2 linked regions of the Lepisosteus oculatus genome follow. The protein of the gene in region 1 interacts with the protein of each later gene in a pairwise test. Links are inferred from orthologs where the notes say so. Each region holds a gene or a part of one and is shown in the gene's direction. Other genes may lie near its edges.

Evidence for each region. The genes of interacting proteins can lie anywhere in the genome.
Region 2: the proteins of cdkn2d (region 1) and nuclear receptor subfamily 4 group A member 2 interact in binary tests that used the Homo sapiens proteins (3 or more experiments, as listed by UniProt). The two-hybrid records come from large-scale screens. The link is inferred for Lepisosteus oculatus from reciprocal best matches to the Homo sapiens genes CDKN2D and NR4A2.

Annotation. Positions count from the first base shown.
Region 1 is NC_090706.1:16,474,193-16,481,678, reverse strand, and holds the start of cdkn2d (cyclin-dependent kinase 4 inhibitor D), read left to right. Parts: upstream 1-4,486; 5' UTR 4,487-5,440; coding exon 5,441-5,578; intron 5,579-7,486. UniProt on the Homo sapiens protein: Interacts strongly with CDK4 and CDK6 and inhibits them.
Region 2 is NC_090707.1:12,359,794-12,367,872, reverse strand, and holds the start of nuclear receptor subfamily 4 group A member 2, read left to right. Parts: upstream 1-4,989; 5' UTR 4,990-5,158; intron 5,159-6,303; 5' UTR 6,304-6,410; intron 6,411-6,881; 5' UTR 6,882-6,883; coding exon 6,884-7,750; intron 7,751-8,079. UniProt on the Homo sapiens protein: Transcriptional regulator which is important for the differentiation and maintenance of meso-diencephalic dopaminergic (mdDA) neurons during development.

The DNA of each region.
Region 1 (7,486 bases):
AGCACTGGTACAACTGGGAAATCATGGCCGGTGTCGGAGGGTGTCCAGGGGAGTGCTATGCACTTGGCATGTTCAGTCAAACCTGCTGGTGCCCGGCTCAAGACATATTAAAATGCGCGGTTCAAGAGTGCCCCTGGAAAGCTGGTGGCGCAAGCAGCACGAGGCTGGATTGGAGACGAGGAAGATCACCGACAAAATGGACATAACGGAGCAAAAAAGAGAAATGCACGTTAAAAAATTCAACACTTCCATTAAGTCTTAAGTCCTACGGTGGCAGCTGAAGGGAAACTACTGAAAGGCACAGAAAATGACCCTTGTTAGGTCATCGGAACTTGGCAGCATAAGACCCCACTTTTATTAAGACTCTTACATGAAGTACATTGAGATTAATTATAATGAGAATTATTATTATTAATATCATTATTATTATTATTAAACCAGGGTTTCCCTAAGGACTAGAGATGAAAAAGCCTCTAACGCTGTCAGCTAGAGCTCTCTTCAGTCCACTGGCAGTCCAGCTTGCCTGACTGTCTGCTCCTGTGTCTCACTCCTCACCCAGGGAGGGAAGGAGTTCCTGATGCGCGCGCACTTTGGCCTGCCCAGCGTGGAGAACGATGAGGCGGAGGGAAAGCCGCCCATCACGGTCAACTTCGAGATCCCATACTTCACTGTGTCTGGAATCCAGGTACATTTATATACCCACTCCCCCCCAGATCAAGACCGAGAGACCACATTGATGAAACGCCCATCCATCCATTTGCTAACAGCTCAGGGTACACCCTGGATGGAACAGCAGTCCGTCACCGGTGGACAGACACACACACTCACACCAGGGCCAATTGTTCCAGAAGCCAGTTAACCTACCAGTAGGTCTTTGGACTGTGGGAAGAAACCAGAGCATTCATGGAACAAATTTTACCATCAACATCTACAATGTATAGATGGTGACCTTACAATCTTCATAAAAATCTTGCACCTTGTGGTTTAATTTAAATTCTAATCAATGCTAGTTCAATAAAGAAACAAAGACCTGCCGTGAATTAACTTCTTGGGGCTCTTGCCCAAATCTCTAAGGACCCACCATTATCCCCACACAAACCTGGAAAAGCAGAACTTTTTTGAAGAGACCAAATAGTAATGCAGTTTGTTGGTAATAAGATACATTCTCAGAATGCCTTGCCCCCTTGACTAGCTTTGGAAAGCTGACAGTTTGTTGTACTTGTGTCAAGTTTATACCTGTGTTTTTTCCCAAGAAAATCACATGAGGGACTTTCAGCTCATGAGTTTTGTAGAAGACTTATCGTAGAGACCCTGTTAGTTCTGAAAAGCTGTTATGAACAGGTCCCAAATCTCTCTCATTAATCTGCAGTTGCTGTCTGACTGGGTGATGTTTTGTTAAGTACCACCGGTGGGGGTTTTGATCCCTGTCTTTGCTGGGCAGGAATGTGACTAACGGCATGCGTTTCTGTCAGGTGCGGTACATGAAGATTATTGAGAAGAGTGGCTACCAAGCCTTGCCCTGGGTCCGATACATCACGCAAAGCGGAGGTACGATGTGCTTTCTTACACGATCCCTTTCATCATTCACTCATCCATCCATTTTCTAACCATTTCTTCCAATTCATGGTCATGAGGGAGGTGGGGCCTATCCCAGCATGCAACTGGCACACGGCAGGGTACAGCCTGACTAGGGCGCCAGTCCATTGCAGGGCACAGAAAGACACAGACACACATGCACACTCACACCAGGGTCCATTTTCCCAAAAGCCAATTAACCTACCAGCATTGTGGGAAAAAACCCATGTGAACATGGGGAGAAGATACAAACTCCACACACACAGCGCTCGAGGAGCTGAACCCAGGGCCCCAGTGCTGCGAGGCAACAATGCTCACCACTTCCCCACCGTGCCACCCACCTTCACATATCCTTGGCATCATTTTATTTTCACACCTCTTAATTCACTCATTTATTTTACATTTCTTGTGGCTTGACAAAACCATTTAACAGCTGGTGCCATTGTTTACCACAGTTCCTTTCACTCTCTTGCATGGAAAGAGATGGTTGGTGTGTGAACTGAGGAGTTTGTTTCTTGTGATCAATGCGTCTGTCTGTCTCCCATTGTTGGTCTCTGTGCTGCTGGTTTTTCACCAAATGAGTCAGTGGGTGTGTGAACAGGATATCTCTCACTTCCTGCCTGATGTGAAAGTCAGCCCTTTTCTTTATCTAATGCATTTTGAGGAAAGAAAAAAATTGTCCTCAACAGGCTTTTAATAATAATAATAATCATAATAATTGCATATATAGCGCTTTTCTGGACACTCCACTCAAAGCCCTTTACAGGTAATGGGGATCCCCTCCACTACCACCAATGTGCAGCATCCACCTGGATGATTTGACGGCAGCCATAGTGCGCCAGAACGCTCACCACACATCAGCTATCAGTGGGGAGGAGAGCAGAGTGATGAAGCCAGTCCATAAATGGGGATTATTAGGAGGCCATGATTGGTAAAGGCCAGTGGGAAATTTGGCCAGGATGCCAGGGTTACACCCCTACTCTTTTCGAGAAACGCCCTTGCATTTTTTAAATGACCACAGAGAGTCAGGACCTCGGTTTTATGTCTCATCCGAAAGACGGCACCTATTTACAGTATAGTGTCCCCGTCACTATACTGGGGCATTAGGACGCATGCATTAGCAGCCTTAGTTTTTCCCAGGAGATCTCCCATCCAGGTACTGACCAGGCTCACACCTGCTGAGCTTCTGTGGGTTGCCAGTTGTGAGTTGCAGAGTTGCATTTTAAGAAATGAAGAGCAGAGAGGATGAAAATGGAGTTTGAAAAGCAAACCATGTTATTTGAAATCTCCCATTTATTTCAGATTACCAGCTGAGGACCAACTCCTAGAAATATTCCCTGGGCAAAAGAGTCAAGGACCTGCGGTTTCATTGAACAAGCGACCAAAACGGTGCCTTTGTATTTATAAAGAGCAAATTTCTCAACTTTTTTTTTTAAATGCATAGATTTTGAATGATTTGATTGTGTAGACCCGGCCTTCCTCCCCTACTGTCTCCCCTTAGCCATCCACCCAGGGCTGCCTCAGCACGGCTGCCCTCCTGGTCAGCTTGTCTGCATGCAGTGCTTCGGTACAGCCAAGCCCTTACGAGTCCTGTGACCCTCCTGGTTATCAGATAAGTGATGTGGGAACTGGATGGAGCCCAGTTAAACACTGGACTGGAGAGGCATGATTGCAAGCTGAGCAGCCCTGCTGTCCAGATAGATATTTTTGTGATCATTTTAGGTCAGGGTTCTGGAAGGCTGCTGTGCTCATAACTGCCCATTTCCACTAATTATTGTCTTAATTGAACCATGTTAACGATTCCCAAATCATTAAGGCAGGGATTTCCACTGCTGGTCCTTGTCCTTGTCTGGTGGTTTTCATTCCAGCTGGACTCTTAACAGGCTAAACTGAACTTGTAATTTAATTAGACCACAATTCAATTTAATCTTTGCCGCTCCTTAAAGGTTGCAGCTTGCAAATTACTCAAGAAAGTTTTGCAATTCTTTAAATACGTCAAATGCTGGGGCACAAATAATTGAGCTAGAACCAAAATCTGGCAAACTGTGGTCATAAGGATCTGGAGTGAGGAGACCTGTATTAGAGTATCCAAGAGCAAGGGTGTGAGACTCCACTCCTTGAGGGCTTAGTATATCCTGGTTTTTGTTGTACCCAAGCTCTCAGTTTCATAGAGGTATCTGTTTTTAAATACACTATAAGCTTTGCAAATGGGTTGTAAGAACTGAACAGTATCCACTTCAGCCTGCCTGTAGTGCTATTGTAACATATACAGTATATTTTTACTTTCAAGAAATGTGAGGAAGAAAGGAAATGCTCCCTGTTTTGGCTTAAGCGTCCAATTAGGCTTTAGTTTGATTCCATTGATTAATTTAGGAAGGCAAGGGGTTGGAATCTGCTAAACTCTAGATCAGGAGTCACAAACTCAGTCCCTCGAGGGGCTCTGTGTCGTCAGTTTTTTTTTGTTTCAACCCTAGGAGCTAATTAATTAACCTGATTGTTTTCAAAATTAAACCTATAGAGGATTTTTTAAGATTAATTACACAAGACACATTAAAGGTGCAGTTACCTATAAACTGCCTTGTTAGATGCCATTTTGTAGGAAGTCACATACTGTTGCTTTGATGGTGTTGGTTGTAATTTTGCTTTGATTCTAATCGAGTGATTGTAAATAATACTGTGTGAGTCTTGAGCGTTGTTAAAATTACACAGAAGCCTGCATGATTACCAGATCATTTCTTTCCAGACTTTGTTTGTGTAAAGCTTAGTTTTTTTTGTGTAATTTTAACTAAAATTAAAATACCGTAATAACCAATGGAAAAAATAACGTACATGTATGTGGCATTCTTTCAGACTAAAACATTAAGAAATCCCCTACTGCACTACTTGTAGAACTAACGCTATTCCCGAATGTAAACGTTAATAATAAACAGATCATGTTTTATGCATAGGCAGACAGTCGAGAATATAACGATTATAATTTAAGTATTTAAAGGCTCATGTAGTCTGAGATATAATTTAGGGTGTGAAATGTCAGCAAATGCACAGGGCGTTATGAACCGCCTTTTTTTCTTTGCTTCGTAGGAGCTTGTAATTCAAGTTCTTAGCGGTTTAGTTCTTCTGCCGTATGAATGAATTTGCTTAACTACTCCGTTTAATTGAATAGCCCGCCTTCTCATATTCGTTTCCTATTGGTTCATTGTTCAATCGTTACGAGGTGATACGATGACCGTCAAACCCCGTCTCCGCCTTTTTTGCCTTATTTGGAACCACATTTTCCCGACAGTCGGCGATGATTGGCGGAACACGTTCTGAAAATCCAAAGCCGGTTTGTCTAAATTTAACCACTCGGGTCCCGCCGCACAAAAGGAGCAACTGGGCGAAAGCGGACGCGGTACTGGAACAAAATGCAGCTCTTTGTTGTTGTTGTTGTTGCTGTTCTTGAGACTGATTGTAAAACCTCTGCTGCTGATGAAAAGAAGGAAAACTGAAACTCGGCGAAGGGGAGGATACGATCTGTCAGGGTGGTTCATATTCCTCAGGTTCTGGAGTAGCCGTGGCGCAAGTGTACAGGTCACGTATGCGTGATGCTAATGTATGTAGGGCGGCACGGTATATATTTATAGACCGTGATTTGATTAAAACTGTGTAGGCTGATCCGAGCCGGAAGAACAGCCATATATTTCAAATCAAAGTGCGCTTAGTGAGAAGACGAGATACAGAATAACTTGCGTGAGCCAGGTTAAAAGGGGGTTAACAGCCGAGGGGACATTTAAAACGTAGTAATTCAATTCTAGAAACGCCCATATTTAAGCGGTCTCCCGGAAAGGACCAAGTTTTTTAGGTAAAGGAAACGGCATCATCCACTATGGTCCTGGGTGACCCAGACGCTGGGAAGATGCTCTCGGCCGCGGCGGCGAGGGGAGACCTTCTCGGGGTTCGGAGGATGTTGCAGAAAGGGGTACACCCCGACACCCCCAACGAATTTGGGAGAACCGCCCTGCAGGTGAGGAGGGTGTTTGACCGTGATGGTTCAGTTACATCTCATGAGAAATCTTGTGCAAGGGATGGGGGATGGGGGGTCAGTCAGGGGTCCTCAAAGAAAATGTGCCCCTTAGGAAAGGGGGGGAACCCCAGAAACAGATCAAAGAAAACGGCCATTCCAAGGGATCTGCTGTGACAGTGCGCGTGGCGGTGGATGGAAGCACCTTGATCTGTTGTGTGCAGCTGTTTGACTTCCTGTGATTGTCCCCGATGGGATATATGCTTTGCACGCAGGCGAAAAACATAAGACACTACACAATGCATTGAACGCAACATAATCCCATTAACAAATAAGACAGGCACACATAAATGAGACAGAAAAAATAACAATAAAGTAAAATATACAGTTGTCCAAATTAAGCATGTTAACAGCTGAGGAAATAAAAGCTAATTTAGTTCTATTGCAGTGGAATCTGGGGAGTCTAAATTGATGCCCAGATGGAAGGAGTTTAGACTCACTGTGCAAGGGGCAGTCATGACAGTCAGTGATTATTTCTGCACTGTGTGTTTGGGTACAGTAGATTTCTGACAGCTGTAGCTGTCGTCCTCCAGTAATGTTGCTGGCTACCTTCACACTCCTGCTCAGTGTGTTTTTATTGCGTGGATGCTTGTTGCACTGTGTAGAAAGCGTAGCGCACTTGGAACCTAGCGTTGGTTATTGCACTTAATTGTGTTTTAGAAAACAAAAGAGTACTGGAATTACTGTTTGAAGTGATGAGGTGATAAAACCGATGCGATCTGCAGTGTATGAATTCTGCTATCGTGTGAACCAGTATTTCACCTTAAGGGGTTGATGTTTTTGCTAACGCACATCTAGTCTAAGAAAAAGAAAAACAAGCTTGTCAGTTTTTCTCTTCCTTCTAAGGCTCACTAAGTAAACTTGTTCTGTCAATCATGTGATAATAAAAGTAAAATTCGGAAGGTAGAGCTAGCTAGTTGAGGATGAAAACCCTCCTAGTATATTATAAATAAGATGATCTGTAGACTAACTGATGGCATTTGAAGAACAGATTGTTACTGGTATTGTGAGCCAATATCCACAGGGCTCTCCTTTAATCCCAACCCAGATTACACAGGTCATTAGAAGATTTAATCACCCAATTAAAAGTTTTAGTCATGCTTTGGATTAAGTTGTATAGATGAAGATTTAATATTATTATAATAAGCCATTTGATATACGTTTCCACTGAAGTTCGGTATGTGATGATTTTAGAGCAAGGGTACAGTTAACTCTTATACAGGTGTAGTATAATGTACTGTTATAGTTAGATTAAATGTTGACCAACTCCTTCTGTAGCTAGTGTCGACACCTGCAGTTCCCTGAGCGTGGAACCAAGTGGGAGAAAAGTGTAAAAAAAATGGTTGTTTGCAGAGCTGTAGGTTGTCTGTGAGACATGTTGATCAAATAAATCGCAAGGTTTACTTTAGGTAATTAATTTCTGGGTAAATCATTAAGAGGCCAGGAAAGCAGGATGGAAAGAGAGGAGAGGACAGAAAGCAAGAAACGGGAGAGGAGGGGGAGACACCGGAGGCGAGAGGTGTTTGTTCACATCAAACTCAAAGCCCAGCTTCTCGTTCAGTATTTGAATTCTCTTAAGGAAACCTGCTGTTCTGTTGTTTTTGCGAAAATCCGATTTCCTGCATTAAGAATCCCCTGGTTAAAAATGACCTCTCCTGGTTATGAATGCATGTTTTAGAATAGGGAGGTTGGTTTCCATTTGCTTTGTAGCACTCAGTTTTACATATAAAGAGAGAGAATAGCTGCTAGGTGATATTTTGTTTGGCTTAGAAGAAAGGTTTCTCTCTCCTTTTGGCCTGTGTGGGGGTTTAACAGTCTGTTTAGGACTTGGTAACAGTCTGTGTTTTTCTG
Region 2 (8,079 bases), on another chromosome or scaffold:
AGCTTTGTAAGAGTAAAGAAAAAATTACACTGTAGCAGATGTCTAGCTAGTCTCAAACCTTTTGCCCTAGAGTTCACAGACAAAAATGCACCAGAGGAAACTCATCCGAACAATCGCAACTCGGCATTAAGAGCAGGAAGAGCGATGAAGAGATGCTGTGTGTGTTATGGATGTCATGCGTTTGCATCAACAAAAACATTAACACTGATTGTTATCATTTTAACAATATTTTGAATATTAGTTTATCACCTTGATTATCACAGATGATCAAGAATGTTGTGGTGGAAATAATAAGAAAATATTAACTGAAAATAAGTGAATCAATAAACTATTCTTAAACCACCAAGAACATTGGGCCAAACAGTTGAACAGATGTTTTTTTTTTGTTCTCAAATACCTCGGTGTGTTCCTAGTTTTCAGAGTAAATACAATATAAAGCTGTTGGGAACTTGTTCAAAATATGTAATGGGTTAAACAATAACTTGAAAAAGAGTGAAACCTTTGAAGTTTGAGGTTGACAGCAGGTCAAGGCAGTATTCGCTCCCTGTTCACTGAATGCAGCACACCGCCACAGTTTAAAGAAGAATTTACAAATTCATTCCTTGACCAAGGCAAGTGACCAAGGGGAAAGGAATAAGATTACCTCCATTCTGCCTCAGTTCTGTCCTTACAATTGGACACTTTTTGAAGTTGTATTTGTTTTTCACATATTTCTTTTGCATCACTCAGGTTGTATATTTATGCACCTTAACTGCATACAAGTAGGCAGTTCTATTTTTTGTGCGATAATCTTGGAAGGTCCAGAAAACATCAGTCCATTTTTGTTAGTTACTTTACCAAGTACAGGGTTGCAGTGAAGTTTATAGCATCTCTAGTGAAAAACAAGAAATGCCATAATCATTGAAATTCAGCAGCTCGTATTGTAGCTTGTAGCATTCCCTTTTCTCTCTCACGCTATTTAAAAATTAATTAATAATGCAAAGTGTTCAATTCTTAGATTTTTAACATATGGACACTAAAAAAAAAAGAAAATCAGCCAAGTGAAGAAATCAGAACTTTGTGTTTCTTTAGGATTGACAGACACAAAATAAACCAAATTTCCCCACCAGTCTTGTTTTAAACCGCCCTATCCTGCATTCAGTACTAACCTTCAGTGTGCTAGCAGACCATTATCAAAATTCATTATAAGAACATGCTTCCTGGTTTCGGGACAGCACCAGTGCCTTAATTCTTTGATGCTATGGTAACAACTGAAAAGCTGAATTCTGCTATTTCTCGTGGAAATGTAACAGAGCTGTGCAGCACCAGATTACTTCTTATAGTCTTGGTTGTGGCGGATTTCTGTGGGTGAAAAGTGATAGCGGACTAAAAGTTCATTAAAGCCGTTTGCCAGGTTTACAAGAGTGTCATATTGAATGATGCACTTGGGCACAATACAGATCTGGAATTTTGCTTGTGAGGCTTCACTTTTCCAGCCAAACCAAGCAAAGTACAAAAATCGCCTTTGTAGAGAAAAAAATGACAAGTGGCGATTCCCAGTGCCATTCCTAAATTGTCCAATATTCAGTAGGTGCCTGTTGATATCAACCAAAGGATTAAGCTCTGTCCTGCTGGCAGTGTTTGCTCATTAGATTCTTGTTAAGCCTGGTCTAGGTATTGTGCACGAGCCTTGTGCTACTCCTTCATGTGGAAGTTCAGATGCTGGGCTGCCATTTCAGTCAGGCATCATCCAACAGTGACATGTTTTAAATTGGTAACTGCTTCATTTGCCATTTTTGATCATTTATATAGATTATGTTTTGATTGTATTTGTAACATCTCCAATAACATTTGAAAAAAGAAAGAAGTGAAAGAAATAGTGTATCGAAAAACAATGAACATCTATCATAATATATTTCACACTAGTATCATTAACAACTACAGAATATCACTGATGGCTGATTTTGTGCCACATTATTTTAGCAATTAACCAATACCATTGCCTATAATGGCTGAAGGTTTCAATGTGGATTCCACCTCTTACAGCCTGATGTGAATTCATTTTCTAGATTTCCTAGCTAGAAAAAAAACAATATAGTTGTAAGACATGTCTATTTAGTTATCACAATTTGCTAGCAAAAAAATCATCTTTCAACTTTCGTAAAGAAATGCATTTATTTAAAAAAATCAGTGTAGATGTAATCTAAAGAGTGGTGTAATACTACAGTTGTATAAGGATGCACGTGTTATAGTATTCACTTACAGTACCGTAAATATAGTACAGTATCCGATCTTACCATGCACACGCTCTGTGAAGTTCAAATAATCATTTATCGCTAAAGAATAATGGCAGCACATTTATCTTTAAAACGAGAAAGTGCTGAAAAAACGCAGCATTTTAAATGATTCCTAATGATCCTATCTTAAAGTGATATTTGAAGAACCGCCACTTAGTCTCGTAACTAAAAAACATTTTGTGAAACTAGCAATAAAGCATGTCTATGTACTATGTACTATACTAAAAATGTGTTGTATTATGTTATATACCGTATACTGTGCTAATCTACTTTCTCTCATATACAGGGGCGCCTGGGCAGTGAAGTGGTGATGTTTGTAAACGTGCTGATGGGCAATGAAGAACACCGTCCTCTGCTGGAGAGAGCAAACGTCCAGGAACAGTCCTAGTCTCATGCGCCGTAATGGACACAAATACTGTGGGCAGTGAATTTTATTTATTTTGATCAGTACCCCACAGCTGTCTGAAACGGGCATGTTACCACATTAGTGATATTCCTGTAAGTAGTTCATGTGTTCATGAACTGACGAGGGCTGGTAGCATGCTACCTTGTGGACATCATTGCAATTCAAAAAACGTAGGATTTATACCAGTATTAGAAATACTGCTCTTTATTGCTGGATTTCCAATAAAGAAACTTTGAAATGAACACGGATGTTGCGTTTTTTTTCTAACAATCGAAAGGCTGGCACGAAAAGCTTGAACACTGACAAAAGCGAATCGACGTTAATCTTTGAATTATGTGATTGAATGCGCTTTTCACCCCCTGTGGCTCCCTCAATGTGAATACAGTGCAAGGTTAGACTGCAGGATCGTTTATTGTATTAAACTCGGATGCAAGTGAGTGGATGGGTTTTGAATCACTGACGTAGCACGCAAGAAAGTTTCATTTTCCGAGTTAATGTTATCAAATTATGAAACGGTGCGCACCAGACTGTGCTCTATAAACACAACCCAGTCGATATCTAGAGAAAAAGACTAGCATTTTAAGGTTGACACGTGTTTTACAGACAAACGGCGAAAGCTAGCTTGATGACTGAAAAGCAATCCCTTCATTTCCCCAAGTACAGCGCAACAAGTTGCTGCATGGGATTTATGCAGAAATATGGCTCCTGCGCTAAGCACCAAAGTTCACCCGTGCTTTCAATTTAGAAAAAACAACAACGTGGTGTTGTTCTGGGATAAAAATAGACCACTTCTTTCTTTAATTATGTATTCTCCAGTTTCCGATCGCAGCTAAAATAGTCGGTGGAAGCACGGCCCATTATAAGATCAATAATAGAGTCCTACTGTAATAATAATAGAGCACCAAAAACAAGAAAAGGCTGTGACTGCTATTTTTGGCAGAGACTGTTGGTTGCGTCAAAGGCGGCGTTCCCTGCGTCATGCACCATTCTGCCACCCCCTATCACTTTTTCCCTTTCGTTCGACTAAATTGGTTCGCCCACGACAACTGACGCTGCTCCGCTGTTAATGAGCTCCCTCTGTCTGCTCTCACAACACAAGCAGCTGGGAAAATTAAGGTAGTCACGTACTGAGGTACACACCCACTCTTTTTAGAGGTCTAAATTTGGAAACGCATGTAAATCAGTTAGATGTGTAGCAAGATAGAGGAGGGCTGAGAACAATCCCATATATAATACAAATTAGATACATTATTTGAAATGTGGCAGATTGTGTACTTCACAAGAAATGGCAACTTTCTGACTGCCTCTTGTATCCACAGACCGTGAGTTGAAGGGTGCAGTGATTCATGTTGGACAGAGGGTGGTAGTTTACGAGGGAAAAATAAACATCTGTAATCATGTGTTTCTAGAGTTTCAATTCATCTGAATTGGACCTCAATCATTATTATAATGACTTTTATAAATGTAAGTATTCCGTATGTGCAACGACTGAGTACTACACGGTATAAAATATTGTGAACGCGTGCTATAAAGACCTGCAGGACCAGCATTTGGCACGGAAAACAAAAATTAGGATAACATTCACACAGTATTATCACCGAATCTATAATACAGTTTCATTATGCCGAAGGACATCAGAGTGTATTTCAAATTGTTGTTGTTTTTTTTCCGCATATTTACGTGATTGCAGGCAATGTTACTGTACTGTCAAGGGGTTTACTCCCTAAAGCAAACTTACATCTAGTTCCACACTTGACGGGACGCCTCACTTTTCTGAAGACGCTTCAACATGCCAATAACCTCTACCCCCCCTCCCCCCCCAAAAAAAAAAATCAAATGCATAAAATAAACGGGTTTATATTTGACCAGATTGTAATATCTGCCAGAGTTCTCTTGACAACTTCATTAATGTCGTGTCTCACATCTGCTTCTGAGGCGACAGCGTATTCCGAAGGCCACACACAACGCCGCTTACTTCCAGAAGGGAGACACATCATGGTAAGCAAAAACGCAATTGTTAAAATCCATTACTGGAATATCAGACTTGTATACCATTTTACACCTGTTTACAAACATTACGTTTCTGGGTTTTCTGATTTGGGAACGGGTGAAGCGAACCGTGGTACCCTACTACCTTAAAACGCTGCTCAGCTTAATACGTCAAGGAATTGGCCAACAGCACGGAGAAGTCTAACCCCCCCTCGAGACACTGATTGGCCTAAGTCATTGACGATGCCGATGACGTAGAATTTTTTTGTGGTATTCAGAGCTCACATAAACAAAGGCACATTGGAGGGAAGGACCAGTCTCGGCTTGTGTCTTGTACTGTTCTGTGCGATAGCCGCACTTAATCCTATTCTGTTTGTTCTCACAACTGTTCTGTCGCTTATTGTTTGGGGCTCTTTTTTTATAACTACGTTAGACCACTACTAGCAGATCTTCTGCATGGATAGCACGGGACGCTGCAGTTAAAAAGGTATATTTTATTCTATTTTGCTATATGGGCTTGGATTGAATAAGCTATTTCACAGCATCATCTACAGCCGCTAACTATTCAACATGATTTGTGCGTGTTGTATTGTGTATGCAATTTTTTTTTCATAATTGTGATATGTTGGGCGAAAGAATTACTTACGTATACAATTGATACTCGTAGGAAGATATGGCTAATGACAGTAACGTACATTAATAGCAATGATAAAATGTTGAGAATAGATGGCAATAAAAACGACCATTAATTGAAAGTGTTACTGTTACTTTTATCGGTTGTCAGGTACTTTAAAATGTTCTTTAGTTCGCCTGCTTTGTTACGGAAGTCATTTTAAATGTCGATAATGTGTTGACCATGTTATTGAAAAGATAAAGCAACTTCACATGTAGTGTACAATCGCTGTCTCTCTTACTACTGCGAAACCGTTAAAACTCTTTTTCCTTTGCATTTGACTGATGTGGCTAAAACTATTCTCTAACTCACCTGCTGACTCCACCTTGTTCTTCTGTTCGCCTACTGAGTTGGATTGGCGATTTCACAGCTTTCAGACACGTGAATGACAGTATAAGCCGGTATAATTAGCTGCTTAATAGCAATTGCGGTTATTATTTTTGACAGTTCTCAACTACAAATGCACTACTACCTCTACTGCTAATAACAGCAAAAAATAAGTTTAGAGAGAATAGAATAATACATAATTGTAAAAGCAGCAAAATACAAATATTCAGAAAACTTTATGTACATGCTTCATATTTAAAGTGTGACTCCTGTTGAAACTCACGCGTATATATAACCATGCTTTCTGTTTATCCCTGTTAATGATGCTTCTTTCAAATAACAATATAACATTGTGCTTCATGAAATATCTGACATGGAATAAGGAAACAAAAATGACCTAAATAAAATGAAGAAATATTATTTCCATTTATAAGCGTGAAGATTGTTACATTACGCGAAACCATTCAGATTTTTATTATATGTAGCTTTTTTTGTATTGGATACATTGTTTTGTTTACATGTTTTGTTTACAAAGAAACTCTTTTAAATAAGCACTTGCATACATATGTGCACTGTCCATTGTAACGGAAAAATGAACAGGGGTTATAAACTACATTTCTTCTGTATTACAGGGAAGAGTCCCGAGGCGCGCTACTTTCTCGAAACCTGAACTTCAAACAAGACTAAACGACACTGTCCAATTCAAGTTCCTCCGGAAAACACAGTCCGTCGACTGAAGGTATGGAGTATTAATATTGTTTCTGTAAATGAAAACTATAAATGTTTAACCTAGTCAAAAGCAACACGTACAATGCATTTTAATAACAGTGGAAGCGTCATGTTGTAGTGTCTTTTATTGATAATAAAATGCAGCATGTTTCAGAATACATCATCACGGATTTCTCCTGCACATCTACTGTATATATTCAGAGATTAATACAGACATGCTACCCTTTTCATATGATATTTTTTTAAATGAAATACTATGTTGTTGGCTAGTTGCTCTTTTTTCTGCATCCAAAAATATAATTTAAAGATGTGTGCATGGCTTTATTTTGTTAATGAAATGTAAGTGAAGACATTGGATTTGTTAAATATTTTATCTAGACAATGGCATGCTACATTTTTGGATGTTTAAGAGTAAATCAAGCCTGTGCTTGGAGGGTGATCGCTTTGACAGTGTGAGCATTTGTGAAACTTTCATTTACAGCCATGCCCTGTGTTCAGGCTCAGTATGGGTCATCACCTCAAGGAGCCAGTCCAGCTTCGCAGAGCTACAGCTACCACACCACTGGAGAATACAGCTCCGATTTCCTAACTCCTGAGTTTGTTAAGTTTAGCATGGACCTGACCAACACTGAGATCACAGCCACCACTTCTCTTCCCAGTTTCAGCACATTCATGGACAACTACAACACCAGTTACGACGTAAAGCCTCCCTGCTTATACCAAATGCCTCTTTCTGGACAGCAGTCCGCCATCAAGGTGGAAGACATTCAGATGCACAGCTACCATCAACAGAGCCACCTGCCACCACAGGCTGAAGAGATGATGCCCCATTCTGGCTCAATGTACTACAAGCCCTCCTCGCCCCCTACTCCCACTACCCCCAACTTCCAGGTTCAGCCCAGCCCTATGTGGGATGAGCCTGGTTCGCTCCACAGTTTCCATCAAAACTACGTGGCCACCACTCATATGATAGATCAACGCAAGAATCCCGTGTCAAGGCTTTCCTTGTTCTCGTTTAAGCAGTCACCTCCTGGTACCCCGGTGTCAAGCTGCCAGATGAGGTTTGACGGTCCTCTTCACGTACCTATGAACCCGGAGACACCGGGTGCCCATCATGTGGTAGACAGCCAGAGCTTTGCCGTCCCCAGTGCTATTAGGAAGCAGGCAAACATAGGCTTCCCACACTCTCTTCAGCTCGGACATGGGCCCCAGCTGATGGACAGCCAGGTCCCGTCGCCTCCGTCAAGGGGATCGCCTTCCAACGAGGGTCTGTGTGCAGTGTGCGGGGACAACGCCGCTTGCCAGCACTATGGAGTGCGTACTTGTGAAGGGTGCAAAGGCTTCTTTAAGGTAGGGTGGACTACGGTATCATTTCTCAAGCATAGCAATATGAAACGGCAGCTTTTGTCTGAAGCTGGATTTGTACAATCCTTTAACTAGCTAATGTTAAAGAAAAATTTTATCATGACGACCACAGATGGTACAACATTTAAAAAGAAGAAAAATAAGAGGCATTTCCCTCACAGCGACAGCGTTCAGAAAATCTTGTACATTAAAAATTACTATTTAATTGTGGGCACTTGTGTGCATTTTTGACACAGCCCTTTCCCTTAGAATTAAATTGGCTGGGACAGAGAACCGTGTCTAAGCTAACCAAGTGGAACAGAATTCCCAGTGGT